Linked DNA regions of Arabidopsis thaliana. The protein of the gene in region 1 interacts with the protein of each later gene in a biochemical or structural test. Each region holds a gene or a part of one and is shown on either strand. Other genes may lie near its edges.

The links. The genes of interacting proteins can lie anywhere in the genome.
Region 2: the proteins of SKD1 (region 1) and AT4G24370 form a complex in vitro, tested with the Arabidopsis thaliana proteins (one study listed by BioGRID).
Region 3: the proteins of SKD1 (region 1) and EXT-like form a complex in vitro, tested with the Arabidopsis thaliana proteins (one study listed by BioGRID).

Annotation. Positions count from the first base shown.
Region 1 is NC_003071.7:11,777,869-11,785,125, forward strand, and holds SKD1 (AAA-type ATPase family protein), read left to right. Parts: upstream 1-3,027; 5' UTR 3,028-3,357; coding exon 3,358-3,835; intron 3,836-3,929; coding exon 3,930-4,035; intron 4,036-4,649; coding exon 4,650-4,848; intron 4,849-4,931; coding exon 4,932-5,000; intron 5,001-5,079; coding exon 5,080-5,154; intron 5,155-5,244; coding exon 5,245-5,343; intron 5,344-5,445; coding exon 5,446-5,601; intron 5,602-5,736; coding exon 5,737-5,862; 3' UTR 5,863-6,058; downstream 6,059-7,257. Other genes in the region: AT2G27590 (S-adenosyl-L-methionine-dependent methyltransferases superfamily protein), read right to left, coding at 1-101, 557-675, 784-1,264, 1,353-1,459, 1,700-1,909; AT2G27610 (Tetratricopeptide repeat (TPR)-like superfamily protein), read right to left, coding at 6,059-7,257. UniProt on the Arabidopsis thaliana protein: Involved in the transport of biosynthetic membrane proteins from the prevacuolar/endosomal compartment to the vacuole. Required for multivesicular body (MVB) protein sorting.
Region 2 is NC_003075.7:12,609,665-12,614,244, forward strand, and holds AT4G24370 (uncharacterized protein), read right to left. Parts: upstream 2,468-4,580; 5' UTR 2,439-2,467; coding exon 1,944-2,438; 3' UTR 1,732-1,943; downstream 1-1,731. Other genes in the region: AT4G24350 (Phosphorylase superfamily protein), read left to right, coding at 1-210, 344-411, 707-862, 945-1,154, 1,253-1,432, 1,506-1,664; AT4G24380 (dihydrofolate reductase), read left to right, coding at 2,890-3,114, 3,191-3,412, 3,497-3,626, 3,714-3,922; AFB4 (RNI-like superfamily protein), read right to left, coding at 4,245-4,580.
Region 3 is NC_003075.7:13,473,886-13,480,833, forward strand, and holds EXT-like (hydroxyproline-rich glycoprotein family protein), read right to left. Parts: upstream 4,639-6,948; 5' UTR 4,498-4,638; coding exon 4,404-4,497; intron 4,319-4,403; coding exon 4,218-4,318; intron 3,919-4,217; coding exon 3,809-3,918; intron 3,294-3,808; coding exon 3,218-3,293; intron 3,118-3,217; coding exon 2,974-3,117; intron 2,704-2,973; coding exon 1,963-2,703; 3' UTR 1,732-1,962; downstream 1-1,731. Other genes in the region: ATS1 (peroxygenase 1), read right to left, coding at 1-68, 195-320, 411-505, 630-715, 805-954, 1,276-1,393; MAP65-2 (microtubule-associated protein 65-2), read right to left, coding at 4,949-5,242, 5,320-5,468, 5,557-5,644, 5,738-6,049, 6,127-6,282, 6,445-6,660, 6,737-6,948. UniProt on the Arabidopsis thaliana protein: Involved in the endosomal multivesicular bodies (MVB) pathway.

The DNA.
Region 1 (7,257 bases):
TTCTACGCATTTCAGAAGCGTCCGGCATTTCTCTGAGCCAGAAATGGACTGAGCTAAACCCAGCTTCCTCCATACAATCCTTTATCTCCGGCAATGACCACCTACACATATATGAACAGCAGATCCAGGAGTTACTTCTCAGGAACTTAATGATTCAAGAGTGCAAGTACAATAAATCTACAGACAATAAGGAAAGCAGGAATATTGTCTTGCCCGAATATAACATTCAATATCATTTCACTGCTACTTACCAGCCAACACAAGGATAAGTCACTAACATATGAATTTAGATATCAGTAACATTCGAGCACATGTTTGTGTAAGTTTTGATCCATAGTGGCTGCACTACAGAATCTCTACCTCACCCAGCCAACCAAAATTACCAAAAGCCTACACTTATCAAGTTATCTAAAATGCTAAGCAAACCCCTAAGTACCAAATATGCTTCGTTTTTTTGTAACTGTAATATTTTCTTAAGGCTTGTGGGAGATTGTGGGTAATGACTGTCCCACTTTGAAGAAAGAATGGATGTGGAAGTAGACTACAGGACACTTACAGTCTCCAGCTATATGAAAAAGCATGGCGAATCTTTCTGTTCTGCTTCTGAAGGTGATAGTGCAGACTGATCCTTGTCTTGCGGCTTAAAATATCAAACTCAGCCTGCTCCCATGTATACTGCCAAATGAATATGGACAATCGTTAGTACGGTTATCTCTAGTAAGTTCGATATTTATGGCTCTGACACCCTTTTTTACCGAATGAAGTACAAGAATGAACTATTACCGTGAAATTAGGGAATTTCCGTTGAAGCTTCAACTGTCCCTCAGCAGAAGCACCTCCATATAAATCCATCACGAAGATACCACCTTTCTTAGACAAAGCGTCACGTGCATTCTTGAAGTAAGAAACCAACTCCGAGCGTTTGTGGAGACAACAACAACTAAAATTAAAAGCACACACAATATCCCTCTTTGGCAACGAATCAGGTCCATCTTTCTCTAAAGATTCGACAACACTCGGATCAGCCAAATCTTCATTATCATCACCATCATCCAAGCTGATATTTTGTATCAGCTCATGGGATTTAGATTTCACTTGCTTAGCCTCAAGAGGAGTTAAAACATTCCCATGGAAAAGCGACATTCTTGAATACACGTCAGAACCAAGTTTACTAATGTTGTTATCCATACACCATTCTAACGCCTCAAGATCAAAATCAAGCCCTATAGCAGTCCGTCTAGTGTCAGTCTTCAGCCACTCCGCACTATTCCAACAATCAATGTAAAAACTTATTCAAGCAAGAAAACCAAAAGCTACATTATTTTGTACCATTTAGTGAAACACACAACAACCTTAAAAGAGCAGTGCCGCAGAAATCTTCTTGGAAATGGAAAGGTTGTCTTCCACCAACATACATTAAAAAGAACTTCTGCAAGTAACTTATGTCTCCTTTTGGTGACTGCAACAAACAAAAAGCAATGAAAAGACAAGAACAACAAATGTTAAAGCTTAGTGCTTGATGATAGAACAAGAACAGTGAAACACAAACAATACAATTTGTTAAATCTTAGTGCTTCTTTATACAAGAGATACAGAGAACTCTCTCCCTAAGAAAATTTAAGTACTTTTAACTGATTTCATAAAACCAGTAAGAACCACTCAATGAAACTTAGAAGGCCAAGCACAGAATTGCAGTTACCTGAACGGATTGTTGGTAAAGGAGAAACTTTGAAGGCAAATCCGATGATTCGTTTCCATCATTTTCTTCTTCTTCTTCGTCAGAGTTTTCTTCATCTTCTTCGTCGACGGAGGCAACAGCCGGCGGGTGTTGATCGTAGAAATCTTCAGCATCATTCGAATATTCACCTTTGTGGCGACGTCGATTAGGTTTTTTCTCTCGTTTCCCCATTTGTCGTCGTTCTCAGTCCAAATTCTCAATCCAGAGAATAGAGCAGAGCAGAGCAGTCGAGGAAGAAGAGAAAAGCGTTGACTTTGTGTTTAGTGTGTCTTTAGACTGAAGAGTGCCCTAAACTATGCCACGTAGGCCCTATTGCTCTCGGTTTAGTGTTTTTTTTGGGTCAAATACCGGTTTTTAGTGGTTCGGATGGTATTTATCATGTGGGGTTTTTTTTTTTTTTTTTTTTACTATGGTTTAGAAAAACTTGGTTAATTATCACCTAAAATAGTGTTTTGGTGTTTCGTTGGAGATGACTAGACGCATAGGTAACAAATAGTACTTTGAAAATCTCAATAGATCTTGCAATGATCTCCTCTTATTATAAGTTTATGATGGATAATGTATTTCTTACTTGAAGATATGTGTTTCTTGCCAATAACTATTGATTATCTTGTGTTTAAGACAATAATATATTACCATTTTTGTATTGCCTAATCGCTTCCACACTAATGAACATATTCTTTGAACTTGAAAATTTCCTTTTTTCTTTAATGCATTGTCAACTAGTGAAAAATTCATTCGTTCGTTTTATCATTGAGACATAATCAATAATCTTGCTAGTTGGGTATCAATAGAACCTGTTCGCTTTGGTTGACAATTACGATTCGCTGCTGAAACTCCGGTCTTTGCGTTTGCAATGTGCACAAGTGACTCCAAATGTTTTGAATGAATAAAAGGAATGTCCTTTCTGCAACTTAAATGTTCTTTGTTGCAAGTTTAATTTTGGTCACTATTTTTTGCTACAATTGCATTCAAAGTAGATTTACTAATTTGTGTTGATGTTAAGGTTTGTTTTTGAAATAATATTTCTAGTTTGTTTTCTTAAGGTTGATAACAAGAAAACTTATCATGGTCATGCTTTATATTGTCACTATTTGAATTTTTTTTCAAATTTGCCTCCTATTAGAAGGACCTTGTACTTAATATATTTGAATGGTGGGATTTTGATGTATCTCTCTACGTGGATTTTTTTGTTTTTCTTCTGCTTTTTAATACAATTTGTTTTCTTTTTCAAACCATTTAATACAAAATTATTGGAAAAAATAAGCATATATTAAAAAACGGCAAGCGTTTTCGTTATCATTCATCAAAACATTGAGCCAATTCTTCACAACTTCCAAAAACGCCTCACCGTTTCATTCTTCTACCAACCTACGCTCCGCTGTTTTCAAGACCTTTTCGTCTTCGTCGTCAAATCTAGCTTTTTTCTTCATCGCTTTGCATAATCCATTCCTTCTTCTCTCTTCTCCATCTCCTTCCTCCGATCTTCGTCTCCAATTCGGAATCTTCCTATCACAATTTCAAGGCTCCTTTAACCCTTGATCATCACCGATTCAATCAATTCGGAATCACAATTTCAAATCGAGAGAATTTCAATTTCTCTTGTAAAACCCTAAATTATGTACAGCAATTTCAAGGAACAAGCGATCGAGTACGTGAAGCAAGCGGTTCATGAAGACAATGCTGGGAATTACAATAAAGCTTTCCCTCTATACATGAACGCGCTTGAGTACTTCAAAACTCATCTCAAGTATGAGAAGAACCCTAAGATCAGAGAAGCTATTACCCAGAAATTCACCGAGTATCTCCGTCGTGCTGAGGAGATCCGTGCTGTTCTCGATGAAGGTGGATCGGGTCCAGGATCTAACGGTGATGCAGCCGTCGCAACGAGGCCCAAAACTAAGCCTAAAGATGGAGAAGGTGGTGGTAAAGATGGAGAAGATCCTGAACAATCAAAGCTTCGAGCTGGGTTAAACTCTGCGATTGTTAGAGAGAAACCTAATATCAAGTGGTCAGATGTTGCTGGGCTTGAAAGTGCTAAACAAGCTCTGCAGGAAGCTGTGATTTTGCCTGTCAAGTTTCCACAGTTCTTCACTGGTAAATTTGTGTAATCTGGAGCTATTCATTGAAGTTTTGAAACCGTTCTCTTTGTAAAGTTGTGAGCTTTATCTGTTGTTTTGTTACTTCTTAGGAAAGAGACGGCCTTGGAGAGCTTTTCTGTTGTATGGGCCTCCTGGAACAGGAAAATCGTATTTGGCTAAGGCTGTTGCCACTGAAGCTGACTCTACCTTTTTTAGGTAACGTATGTTTAAAAGTGTTTGAATTTCTGAAAGTATATAGGAAGAGGATGGTGTAGTGTCTTAACTCTTTCATTATAGCTTGAGACCATAGTCAAATACTTATGGATTTGAATAGTTGCTATGGATGATAAGCGTATTGAAGTAGTTTGGGATTAGTTTAAGGAGGGTGGTCTTTGGTTTTGTTTGTGTTTGAATTCTAACGGTGTACTACAAGTTCGGATAGAAATATTAAGGAAAGGTTTGATGTTCCTTTATAGTTTATATGCAAATTCTGCTCTATGCTAGAATAGATGTATGAGTCTCTGCTATCTGTACATGTTATACATAAGCAGCTGCAACCCGATTTTAAAGGCCTGGTAGAATCTAAATAGCATATTAGAGAACCAAGGCGGATCGATTTAATTAGGCAAGAATGCTGATCCTTTGGTTTAAGGGTGCCAGAATTTCTAATTTCAATGTTGTTTGCACGAGGTACTTGGGTTTTTAATTAGGTATGGCTATGTACTTTATGTTGGTTGTTTTTCTATGTCAGTTTGTTTTTACAGTGTTTATACTTGGAAACATGTTATAGCTTAAGAAAAGTTGTTTCCTTTTTACTTCCCAACCTTCAGCGTGTCTTCATCAGACCTTGTCTCGAAGTGGATGGGTGAAAGTGAGAAGCTAGTATCAAACCTTTTCGAGATGGCCCGTGAAAGTGCTCCCTCGATTATTTTTGTTGATGAGATAGATTCTTTGTGTGGTACACGTGGAGAAGGAAACGAGAGTGAAGCTTCAAGACGTATCAAAACAGAGCTTCTAGTGCAGATGCAGGTGCATAGCTTATCCGAACTAAACTCCATGTCTTTTAGTTGTAGCTGAAATTTCCGTCTCTGACTTATCTCTTTTTCTTTTAGGGTGTTGGACACAATGATGAGAAAGTACTTGTACTTGCAGCAACCAATACACCCTATGCTCTTGATCAGGTGAAAGTCATAAGACGGCTTGGTTCTCTATTTTCTTTGCCAGTTAAATATTGTTTTGTTAACTCCATGTTAATTTCAGGCTATCCGGCGACGTTTTGACAAGCGTATCTATATTCCTCTCCCAGAGGCCAAGGCTCGGCAGCACATGTTCAAAGTATTATTCATTTGCTTCAAGTTTCTCAAGTAAAAATCATTCAAGGGAGACAGAACCAGTTTACTAATGAGATCTGTTTTGTAAATGCAGGTCCACTTGGGAGATACACCTCATAATTTAACTGAACCTGATTTTGAATATTTAGGCCAAAAGACAGAAGGGTTTTCTGGTTCAGATGTGTCTGTTTGTGTACGTAACTTGGCCTGAGTTATTTCTTATTGTCCTTAATTTCCCCCTATGTTGCTATAGATAGATAAGCCTTTGTCTTGAGAATCTTTTTGGCTCTTGCAGGTAAAAGATGTTCTGTTTGAACCTGTTCGTAAAACACAAGATGCAATGTTCTTTTTCAAGTCTCCTGATGGTACATGGATGCCATGTGGGCCTAGGCACCCTGGTGCCATCCAGACTACAATGCAAGATCTAGCAACAAAAGGGCTTGCCGAAAAGGTACGCATCTAAACTTTGAATATATCATTTAGGTTTTGTATTTCAAGCTTCTCTGATTTCTAAATCCTTTCAATCCTTACATATGACGATTTCTAAAGACTGAATTGTGTATTTCATGTGAATAAATTGCAACAGATTATTCCACCACCAATCACCAGAACAGATTTCGAGAAGGTACTTGCAAGACAAAGGCCAACAGTGAGCAAGTCTGACCTTGATGTCCACGAGAGATTCACACAGGAGTTTGGAGAAGAAGGTTGATAGATTTGACATTCCCATCAAGCATCTTTCACAATCATATTATTATTAGTCTCTTCACCATCTCCTTATGTATGTACTGAGAAGCAAAACAAAATCTCAAACCCATGTTTGATTTCTTCCCAAAACATTGAATTTGCTTTATTTCTCGAATTGTGTAAAAAAAAAATGTTCTGAACAATGTTTTCTATTTATTATGTCACCAAAAGTCTCCACATGAGCAAACTCCATCACTGCTAAAGTGATGAAACCGATTTGAATCTCTAACTACGATCTCTCTTTCTTCAATCTTTGCAATTAATTTGATCACTAAATGACAATCTCCACAAACCCTAAGGTTCTTAATGATCAAAAGAGGGCTTCCCTTTGGTGTAGCTATCAACCCGAAAGCAATAGCTAATCTCTCACTATGCTGAGCAAGAACTGCTTCTTTATGCTCATCATCAATATCTTGAAGCACATAACTTGTATCTGGCTCATACCCTAAATCCTTCAGCCGTGTACTTAAATCTTCTAGCTTCATATAGATTTGATCTTTGAGAGGATGAGACCGATCACCCGCCAAGAACGAGTAAGTCTTGTTCTTGACCTCAATCCAACTATAACCAGGTTCTTTCTTCACGTTCCTCTCATTCATCAGCTTCCTTACTTTGGCTCTCTCTTGCCAATCTCCTGACTCTGCATACATGTTAGACAATAATACATATGCCGCTGAATCTTCTGGCTTCATCGCAATGATCTTCTCTGCAGCTAATCTCCCTAGCTCTGTTTTCTTGTGCACACGGCATGCAGCTAGAATTGTTCTCCAAATGGTGGAACCAGCCGGATTTGGCATGTTTTCTATGACCTTCATAGCCTTTTCAAGTTGCCCAGCTCGGCTGTATAGATCCACCATACAACTATTATGCTCCTTTGTAGGTGCTATCTTGCAGTCTCTCACCATTATATCGAAATATTTTTCGCCTTCTTCTACTAACCCCGCATGTGTACAAGCAGCAAATACTCCGATGAATGTTACACCATCCATTTTCACCTTTCTCTTCTTCATCTCCTTGAAAACATCGAGAGCCTTCATAGCTTGCCCGTGTTGTGCATACCCAGAGATCATCGAATTCCATGATACTAGATCTTTCTCTCTCTGCCTTTTAAAGACTTCTTCCGCACTCTCGATGTTGCCTTTCTTTGCATACATGGTTAGAAGAGCACTACTAACACACAGAGAACTATCGAGTCTTGATTTTATAGCGAACCCGTGGAATTGCTTTCCCTGTCCCATAGACGCATTAGTAGCCGCACACACGTTAAGGATGCTAGAGAATGTGAACTCGTTCGGTTTTATCCCTCCTTTTGTTAGCTCACCAAACATCTTTATAGCTGCCTCTGTCTCTCCGGTCTGAG
Region 2 (4,580 bases), on another chromosome or scaffold:
TTCTCTTCATCATAATCATTTCTTCCTTCCATGTTTTGCCTGTTTCACCCACACCTTCACACAAACTAAAATCCGCCACTACCATCAGAAAACTCAACCGCGGAGGACCTTACATCGGTCTCGTGACGGTCATTGCGACCGAAGAAAATGCTTTTCTCCGCAGTGTCGATTTCAGACCTGACCCTACTCATCCCTTCTTGGATCTCTCTGGTATCCACTTGAATCAAATAACTTTTTCAAGTTTTCTAACGTAAATAGAGTCTTTTGTTTTGCTTAAATGGAAGTTAGTACTTTTGAGATGAAAATATTAGTAGTTTCTGATTTAATAACCTTATGTATACAGGGAGACGTTTTCGAATAGGGAAGATTCATGGAAAGAAGGTTGTGTATGTTAGATGTGGGAGAGGAATGGTGAGTAACCACAACATTAAATTATCCAAAACAGAACAAAAAAAACTACAACAAAATAAAGAAGTTTATATGGCTCTTATTTCTTATCTAAAAGTAGTATACAAAAAGGGAATGGGCACACACCAAAATATCCTGATCCGTATACAATAATTGAAATGATGAATTGATGATAAAACTTATATTAAGTTTTAATATAGTTAGTAAGTAGTATAGTATATTAAAGATGCATATTAGTAAATGTAATCCATATGAAAAGTAGCAAACGAACACTTATATTAAGACAAAAGAATTGCAGGTGAATGGAGCAGCAGCAACACAACAGATGATAGATGTGTTCAATGTGAAAGGGATAGTGCATTTTGGGATTGCTGGAAATATGAACAACTCAATGTCCATAGGAGATGTGAGCATCCCTAAGCAAATTACGAATGCTGGCTTGTGGGATTGGCTGGTAAGTATAATAGTTACACAAGTTTGATTGCTTCTTCTTCTTCATATTGTCTGATCCATGCTTTTGGTTCTGAGTAAAACAGAATCCAGACAAAGTAAAGGGAGTTGAGGATATAGCGTACTTAGATGTCGGAAACTATAATGTTCCAAAAGGAGATGGCGACAATGAGTTAGGGAGTATTGGATATAATTACGAGCAACTATATTCAGTCACTGGTCACATCAATGCACCTCAGAATGTGTTTTGGATCAACACAACTCAAGAGTGGCTTCATCTTGCAGCTGATCTAGAGGTTGTTAAGAGCTATACAACATACTGATTAGATTATAGATTATAAACAATAACGGTTCCATTGTTAACAACGGTTTTTCGTGTGGTATACGGTGGCAGAAGATGGAGCTATCGCAGTGTGTAAATGCAAGTTTGTGTCTTCCAAAGAAACCAAAATTGGTAGTTGGATTGAAAGCAGCCACTGCTTACATATTTGTGGATAATGCAGCCTATAGAAATTTCTTATACGATACTTTTGGAGTCTCCTCCTCTGATATGGAGAGTTCTGCAGTAGCCATGGTAATTTTGAATCCATTAATTTTTACATAATTTTGATCGTTAAGTGATATGTTTGTGTTGTGGATTTGACCAGACATGCGCATCAAATGGGTATCCGATAATTGTGATAAGGGGTTTATCAGATTTAGCTGGAGAAGGAGGAGATAACACTGTTCATAAGTTTGGATCTTTGGCTGCCACTAACACTGCCAAAGCTGTTTTAGAGTTCATTAGGAAGCTCCCACCGTACTAATTCCTCTAGTGTAACCTATTTATCATGAATGTTTGAATCTAGTTCTCTAGTTCATATCAACGAACCCGTGACAACAAATGATTTGGATTGTTATCAAATTCCATTTTCCATGATCGTAACAATGACAACACTTTTATCTCATATATCTACGAAATGCAACATTCGAAAAATTAACAATCTCATTGCAAATTCCAAACTTTCACTCATTCTAGCGACAATCTTTAACAAGCACAAAAAGGGATGTATATATACCTTACAAGAGAAGCCAAATTGTTAAAATTAAGGTTTAACATCTCTAGTTGAATCATTCTCATCATCGCTATCGCAATTCTGGCTTTGCTCATCGTCAGAAGACGGAGACGGATCGAGACGGGCTGCGTCTATAGCCCATTGGATCAGCTTATCCACTTCAGCATCTTCTCCGATTTCATCACCATCTTCTCCGATTTCATCCTGAAGAAGAACAGAGGACGAAGAAGACGCGGAGGGGAGAGAAGTTTTCAGAGCCGCGAATCTAAGCATGAGATCTTCTGGTGTTTCTTCAACCACATCCTTTGATTTCGGCTGCATTCTCGGCCGTTGTTTCTGTTGTTGCTGCTGATCCTTCTTCTTTTGAGATTTGAGAGCGAGAAATCTAGAGTGAAGATCTGGATCTAAGTAATCGGAAGAAGATCGAGAAGTGTGAGAATCAACAGAGAGCTTTAGTATCATCTCATCTTGAGCTGCTTGAAGCAACTGTTCAACTTCGTCTTCTTCCTTGCCTCCTCTCCTCATCTCTCGAATCTGTTGATCTCAAAATCGATTTTCAAAAACCGAATTGCGACTTTATGATCTCTATACAAAACCGGTTTAGTATAGGGTCGATTTTAATTGGACCAACGCCTAACTTACGGGCACACGATGTCGTTTCCCACGCGGTTTAGATTCCAAATTTCCGTGAGATGTTTATTTGATCTCCACCGTCCAATGGAAACTCTGATTATTTCGTTGCCGTTGATCTTTGACCAAAAATTGCCAACCAATCAGTTTGGCCCAATAAGAAAAGGAAGAAAACCTGAATTTCACTTAATCTATCGGCCCTTTTTTGGTATTTCCCATGTGCGATAAATTTATACGATCAAATGTGAACCACGATGGTTCCTGGAAGAAGGAAGAGATTTGCAGCAACAGAGCGTTATAAAAAGGCGAAGCAAGAGGGAAGACAACAGATAACAAATTGTGAAGAATGGGAAGCGAAGGAAGATCGATTGCGAGGAAGCCAAGGTTTTTGTGTCTCCATGGATTTCGTACGAGCGGAGAGATAATGAAGATACAGCTTCATAAATGGCCTAAATCTGTAATTGATAGACTCGATCTCGTGTTTCTCGATGCACCTTTTCCTTGTCAAGGCAAATCTGATGTCGAAGGCATCTTTGATCCTCCTTATTACGAGTGGTTTCAATTCAACAAGGTCCTTTGTTTTTCTTCACTTTCTTCTCTTTATTCTTTTGATTCGTATGTGTACTAACGTTGTAATTTGGATTCAGGAATTCACCGAGTATACGAATTTCGAGAAATGTTTGGAGTACCTGGAGGATCGTATGATCAAGCTTGGTCCTTTCGATGGTCTCATTGGGTTTTCCCAGGTAAGTTATCTACATTTGAAATTGCATCAACAGAGTCTGATTTGTGTACTCTCTTTGAAAACTCTAAATTTGATTTTGCAGGGTGCAATTTTGTCTGGGGGTTTACCAGGACTGCAAGCTAAGGTACGTCAATACTAATGACACTATAGTATTCATGATCATATTTATTTACAAATTCTGTTTCTGATTCATTTACAACTTTTGCAGGGAATTGCATTTCAGAAAGTACCAAAGATTAAGTTTGTTATAATCATTGGAGGAGCTAAGCTCAAATCCGCCAAATTGGCCGAGAATGCATATTCGTCTTCCTTGGAAACTCTCTCCCTCCACTTTTTAGGTACATTCTGCAAAAGCTGATTTGAAAATTCTTCAAAACCTTGTTCATTGATGATCGAGAATCTGATAAATGGCTTGTTTGTTGCAGGAGAGACTGATTTTCTGAAACCTTACGGAACTCAGCTGATAGAATCGTACAAGAATCCGGTGGTTGTCCATCATCCCAAAGGCCATACTGTCCCAAGGCTTGATGAGAAAAGCTTGGAGAAAGTTACCGCATTTATCGATACCTTAGAGCATCTGGTGATGGAGGAAGACAAGAATGGTGAAGAAAATACTAGTAAGCCAACAAAATAGATAAGCTTAAAATGTTATGTATAACGAATAATTCTTTGGATAATAATCGTGCAATGACTGTAAATAAATCTGGCAATGTTTGCGAAAAAACAATTATTACAACACAAACAATAATAGACGATTCTTTCGTTCATTTTCATACATTGTCTTCCTTTGAGCTATAATACTCTTCTTGGTGTATATAACGAATCCAAAGAAGAGTGAAAATGGCAAAACAAATCATGCAGTGTACCTGAAGCACTTACAGTTTACAAACACATTATCTTCTGCTTGCTAGTTTTGCTTTTCCCCAATCATGGCCTCATTTGCACCAAAGTTTTTCTCATAAAATTGTTACAAACTTTGGAGCATCCTTCCTTGGGCCATCAAGGGATCGATACAAGTACAATGTCTCAACATAATCCCCAGTGACAGTGTCTTCGTCATCATCACCATCGGCTCCAAATACTTCCACGACTACATTAGGCAGAGCATGAGAAACACCCCTGCAGCCTCCACGGGATATGAGACATGACGACAACCAAACAAACCTCATATTGGAATACCGATGCATACCAGAGCGCAATCCAACATCTCCAAAGGGACTGTCCCTGATCTCAAGCTTTTGTAGTTTAGGACAACCCTCAAGAACGTATCTCAGAGCCTTGTCACTGTTCCC
Region 3 (6,948 bases), on another chromosome or scaffold:
TTGACAAAAACCCTTCTTCATCCCTTGCTAGCAAGTACAACAGTCCCCACTCTATTTTGCCTGCGATCCTAATACATACATGTAGATCCAAACATTATAACTACAACAACATTGACTAATACTTTAGTTTAACACATGCATTCAATAAACTAATGAAAGGGTAAGAAAAAGGAAGGCTAATGCTGTGATTGTACCATCCAAAAATGTCCCAAGCGTCACGGTTTCCTTCTGTCATCTCCCATAGTTCTCCAAGACTCAACTTGTCTGGCAAGGTTTTCGCATATTTGCTAAATATCAACTCAAGATTCACCGGCATAAACCTGAAAAGCATACGGAAGTTATACCATATGCATCAGTCATCATATTTTCTATCAGTCAACCGTTTTTTTCAAGATAATATGGTCACTCACCTTCCTTCATTGTCATATGTTTTTGAATCACTTCCATGCTTTGACTTGTGTATGTTGTGTATGTATATAGGGAAGAAAGGTGAAGGTAACCACCCCTGCATATAATCAAGTAGAACACTAACAAAATGGACAACGGATTTGGATATGATAATTTCCGAGTCTAGAGTAGAATCAATCAAAGTTTTGCGATATATGTCAGCAGAGGAGGAGAGGTGTTACCGGAAGAGTGGCATAGCTAAGGGTCAGGTTGATAACAGCGGCTATTATAAGCGACCCAATGATATTGAAACCAAGCATTCGCAGTCCTAATCACCGGTTGGGATCAACTTTTTGTACATATAATACTAACGAAAAATTTGAAGTTGAAATATCTATATATACTATATAGACATACCAGAGTAGGTCTCCCAAGGGTAAATGATGCCATTATCATCGATATCGAAGAAGGAGACATGCTGTTGAAGAACACTAAGTCCGTAATTCTTATGGCCTGGAGTTCCGTACGGGTGTTCTCTGTCTGGTGCTTGCAATGCTCTTGGCATATCTATGCATAACACATATAAGATCAAAATCTGTATCATTTCCACGTATGTGTAATGTGTGTATAGAATTATTCATGCACGTTCATGGGTAATACATTATTAATTACCATCATATACAGGATATGTATCATTTTACAATTTATAGCTTCTATAAGATCATGAACATCATTCTATATGCATGTTTTAAAAATTTTGAGGGTCGGCAATTCCATATATTTAAAAGGGTTTCTTAAATTCAACCATATATCAAATATTTTTTGGCATGCAATATATTGAAATCAATTAGGGATAAAAAAATGCAAGTAGCGAGAGAAAGGTTTTACAAGGTTTAGGAAGTCTATCATCCAAGTCAACACGAGCACGGCGATGGTAAGTGACCGGCGCATAGGGAGCCACCGTAGCCATTGCGTCTCTCTCCATCATCTCCGTCTTTGACCCCATCTCTCTCTCACTTTGTCTCTAGACTGAGTGCAAATGTATGTGTTTGTCTTAGAGTAAAGAGTATAATGAGGTAATAATAATAAGAATCGATTTGATTGATGTGCGTGGCGGACATGCACGCGCCGACGAAAGCAGCGATTGACATCTCTCTTTCCTTGTCTTTGACGCACATCTCTTCTCTCTTCCTCTGTCTTACACTTGACATGACTCTAGAGACACGTTTTCTTCCATGTTTCATCACTCTTTCTATTCTTGTCTGCTAAATTCAGTAATTCGGGCCTCTATGGGCTTTTATATAGGCCCAACCTCGAGTACTAACACCACCCGCTACATGAGTGCGTGTCCCACACTCGCTCTTTACGTGAAGACTGAAGAGGAACTCCATTGCCTATGTATGTATGAATGTACACGAAGTTGCAAGGAAAATTTTATGATAATAAGAATAATTCACACAAATTTTCTTTGTAAACGAAGTCTGAGCCTGAAAAGTTAATAAACAAACCCACAAATGTTGAGAACACACACACGCACTAACATCAACCCCAAGTGTCATAGATTAGATATAAAATTCAGTGACCGGCACCGGCCGATGGATTTGTTAGCAACTCAAGTGACTTCTTGAGATGTTCTACAGCAGTCGAGACTTCATCAAAAGCCAAAGCTCCCACAGCGAATCTAGCAGCCTTGAGTGCCTCTGCAACCTTCTCAGGCCCTGGCTGGTAGCTGCTATCGTAATGGTACTTCTGAGCTGAACTCGGTGCAGGATCTAGCACGGGAGCAATATTGATACGCCCGTTTGATGAGTAAGGTGGAGGAGGAGGAGCAGAGGAGAAGCTTGTGGAAGAAGGAGCAGGTGCAGAGTGCGGAGAAGAATAGTAAGGTTCTGGGTTTTGGTAGTGAGAAGGGTAGTGGGGAGAAGTGGATGGGAGGCTGCTCTCACTAAAGCTAGGATAAGATTGGAAATTAGGGAGAGAATTTGGAGAAGGCTCATGAGATGAGTAGTTTTGCGGTGGCGGCATGTGTTTTGGCGGGTCTTGGTGGTATGGTTGATGACTGTAAGGATGCGGGTAAGGGGAGTCTGATGGTCCTGTGGGAGGGGGAAGATGATCGTTGGAAGGGTAAGAAGACGGTGGTGGAGGTGGGACATCTGCGGGATAATCGTTGGTCGGATTGTCATAAAACCTGGGAGGTAGAGGGTGTTGTGGCACTTCAGGGAATTGATGGTGGCTGGAGTCATCATTCGAGTCATGGGGTGGATCAAGCTCTGTTCTATGATGACTTGTTGTGTTGGTATCACTTGCACTGTGATCCTGTAGATAATTAACATGCACAAACAATGAATCGATTAAGTTGATGCAGACGTTTTATCATAGTGTTTTGACAATTGAGAAAACAAAAACCTAAAAGTACACAGGTGGGTGTGAATGTGTGTGTCTCTAGCTAGATGATTTTGATCAGCGCTATGCGAATTCTATAAACATTTACGCTCCTAAACACTTTTCGATATTATTGGACAGAATACACGCTAAGCCAATATCAAGATATTTCCAATCCATAAATATTCAAGAAGAGAAACTTACATAGGAGCCACTAGGACCGCTTGATGGGATGGATAAATCAGTATCATCATCCACAGGATCACCTGGAGTGGGCTTCCTTCCTTCTTTAATGGCTTTCCTTATGTCAGCAGCCTTCCAAGCAGCATACTTGTGTTTCTGCTCTATCTGTTAATGGGAGCCATTACATATATACACATATCAATCTCCCAACACAGCTGCCTCTTAAGGTGATGTTAAGTGAATAAAAAAAGAAGTAGGAACTTACATCAGGAGGTACGGGACCAAACTGGCTCAGAATTTCAAAGAAGATGCTCGCAGCATAAAAAGTTTTGGCAGTGCCCCTGTCACAAGCACAACAAAGTTAATTTGGATAATCCATCGCAACTCGGAAGCCTATGTAATTGAGTCAAATGAATGCAGGTGTTAGCACTTATAAAATAAGGATACAGACAGTAATCGAACTAATATCAGTATCCAACCATGCATAGAAACACATCAATGCTGGAGATACAGGTATTTCGCAAAAGCAGAACAGGTAGAAGACAACAGGTCGAGATAAGCCTTGGATGCATCCAACTAATTACTTAACCCGCTATCTTAAACGATGGTAGAGGAAGGTATCACCTAAAAACATGTCTGCCGGACATGCATACTCATTGTAAATGTATGTGTACTTGCACGCTATTTCCAGTATTGGCAAACACAATAATACTAGACAGACAATGAATCTATAGAATCATGCTAATTCGACTCATTGAGCTAGTGTTGACGGTGACCCTAAAATTATTAGAAACTTGAGGGCAAAAAAAATGCCATTCTATATATAATCAAACATAAGAGCAAAAAAAATTCTTACAAGTCTGCTCTTCCTGCACGATCCTGCTTGTCTGCCTTAGCAAAGACACTAAGTGCAAACCCCTCCACATGCATATTGTCATCTGGGGACAGAGTCAATGATTTTTTATCCTGGAGTTACACAAAAAAGAAATCGCCATAAGAAACTGGAACTAATCAAGAAATTGCCTCATGAACTCTGTCAATCACATGAACAAACCTAAGCTAAATTTAGATATAAGCCTCCTTACCAAACACAAACATAAATAAAAAAACTCCAGCTTTGTAACAAGTAACAACATATAATAATCAAAGTCAAACACATCATGAGAATTACTAAGAACCGGTCCTTTCAAATCTAAACAAGTAAAAAATCAAACAAGCTGAAATAAATCAGAAAAACTCACAATTTAAAACTTCAAAGGTAATACCTTTTCGAGTTGATTAATGAGAGACATGAGAATCGAATTGGTGGTCTTAGTTCTCTCGCTCTGCGGAATCTTCAATCCTCGTTCCATTGCATATAGCCGACCTAATCAATCACAAAATTCCATGAATACACACAATCGCAGGAGGCGATCATCTAGGTTAGATATAGATAAGAAAACGAAACTCACAGTAATAAGCAACAAGTGGTTCATGCTTCTGCAGCTCATCGGCACGTTGCAGGTAAGGCAGAAGAGCCCTGGCTGGTTCGTTTGGGTTCGACATAGATTCTCTCTTCTCTCGAGCTCCGTAGCTTTTTCTCCGATTGATTTGTTAAGACAAAACAGCTCAAGAAATTTTCCTGTATTTAACGCGCTTCTGATTGCAAACTAGAAACGACGTCGCAGAAAGGACCTCTAAAATCCCAAACCTTCTTGGAAACTTTTTAAACTTTTAAATCATGCCCAAAAGATCTTTCAGTATATTACAATTTTGCCCAAATATTATTTCGTAATTCCAATTAGAACCTTGACTTTCATTCACTAAACCGGTCACTTCACATTAGTCATGCTAACAAGTACCAAACAAATTTGAGTGAATGAATACAGAAACAGAAACATCTAAGTAACATTCTACTCTCATTGTCTTTGTTTCTAAGTGTTTGTTTCTTAAACAGCACTATTAGCAACTAACAAAAGTGTAAGTAAGCATTATAACTCTCTTTCTTTTGATATTGTCACGGTGAAGCCATCACTGGGTCAGCACGAGAGACTGGAGATGCAGCATCATCTTTTGTGTTGGCTACAATGTTCGAAGGTGAAGCTATCTTGTTCAGACTGTCTCTCTTGGACTTGCTTCCGTTCTGGTTTGAGTTCATAGACAAACGCCTCATAGGAGTTTCGTTGAGCCCTCCTCCATTGACTCGTGTTCCCACCGGTTTCTTGGCACTAACGGGTCTTGCAGGGCTTGGTTTAGACCCAAAGGCGGATTCTTGATCTGTGTGTGGCTGTTCTTGCTGCTTCTTCTGTTCCTGTTAATGAAAAGGCAAGATTATTTTAAAAGAAGTTAGTTTCAACAATCGGTTTAACACAGGATGAAACAACTTACTTTCAGCCTCCGCTTCTCATCTTCTCGTTCTTGCCTAAGCATAGTGTATTCATCTAGCATGGCGAGTAAAGGAACTCCATCGTACTCAAAGGACATACTGTTCTCCTCTTCCCATGCCCGGGTTTTAGCAATCAACGTGTCAACCATAGCTTGCACAAACAAAGTATGATATATTCTTCAGTCTCAGTTTAATTCTATGTGTAGTAATAACTAAGAGAGACTTTTGGAAGTTCTTACCAGTAATCTTGCTGACCAGAATCCGAGCTTTCTCAGCTCTCTTGAGATTCAAATGCGCACCTCGGCTTGCACTATACCTGTTCTGATCCTGTTTTTCCAGAACAAAAACCCAAAAGAATCATCAATTGAACTCTATGCTTAATAAGTAATGTGTTTATTAACATAGCCAATGTTAGCATACTCGATTGTAATCTTCGAGCCAGCTCTCTTCCTCACAAGCTGACATCCATTTCTCTACACGGTCTAAAATTTCTTTTCTACTAAAGGCTTCCTCCTTGGCCTTTGCGATCTGGCTATCCATGTCAGCCAGTAACTCAGTAGGTTCAGTATTCCCAGCATCAATCAACGACATGATCCTCTCACGAACAACCTCTGGTTTTATTTCTATGTGAGCACGAGCATATATCTCCTCAAGCTCTGATTGCTTTTTGAATGCAATTTCCTTCATTCTGCTAGATTTCAGTTGATCAAGCCTATCCACTTCCACCTCAGCCTTCAAGAGTTCACAGAAGATTTTTAAAAGCAGTACTTATCATACACATTGATTGATACATTACAAATTTACGATACCTGTTCGATAAGATCAAGTGCGAGAGCACCAGAGGCAGTCACTTCATGAACTGAAGCTGAAATGTTAGAGGTAACATGGTCAAAAAGCTCCCTTTCCTCATCAGAAGTATCCATCAGATTCCATAGATCAGTTAGCTGAGTAGCTAGTTCTTGAAGCTGCATAAAACCAAGATACATTAATGAAATCCACAAACAAGAATGGTGCAGAGAAAAGTTACAAACTTTCAGCGCAATTAATCAGAAAGGATTTCAACATATGTGCAGCCTAAACTGACCAAGCTCATGTCAGAGATCACAAAGACCATGATTTTGACTAACCTTCTTAAGTCTTTGCATTTTATCTTCTTTAAGAGTCAAGACAGTCTTAGCCAACCTTGCAAGTGTTTCATTGCTAATGCTCTTGGTTTGAACACCATTTGCCTCATCTAAGCTCGGATGAACTTCGGTGACAGTGCTTAAGAAATCTAAACGAAGGACGGCACATAGATCATGCACCGTGCTCACAAACTCGAGCACCTTCTGTAACCTATCACTCTGCTCAAACACAAAGCAGTTTTAGTTCTGGTTTGAACATAGGCCACACATAACCATATCCCAACTAATATTTTACCTTCTCTTTCTGGAGCTCTTGGAGTTTCCTCTGGAAGTCATCTAATCTCTTTAGAGACAAGTCAGTCTCATCAACCACATGAGGTCCATTGTTCAATCCGCCAGCGATCTCCTCACATATCTTCTGAATCTGTGATTGTACATCAGAAAATGCCCGGACCCTTTCCTCTTTCTGTTGCCAAAGTTGTTCAAGCGCAGGTGCTATTGCAGAAA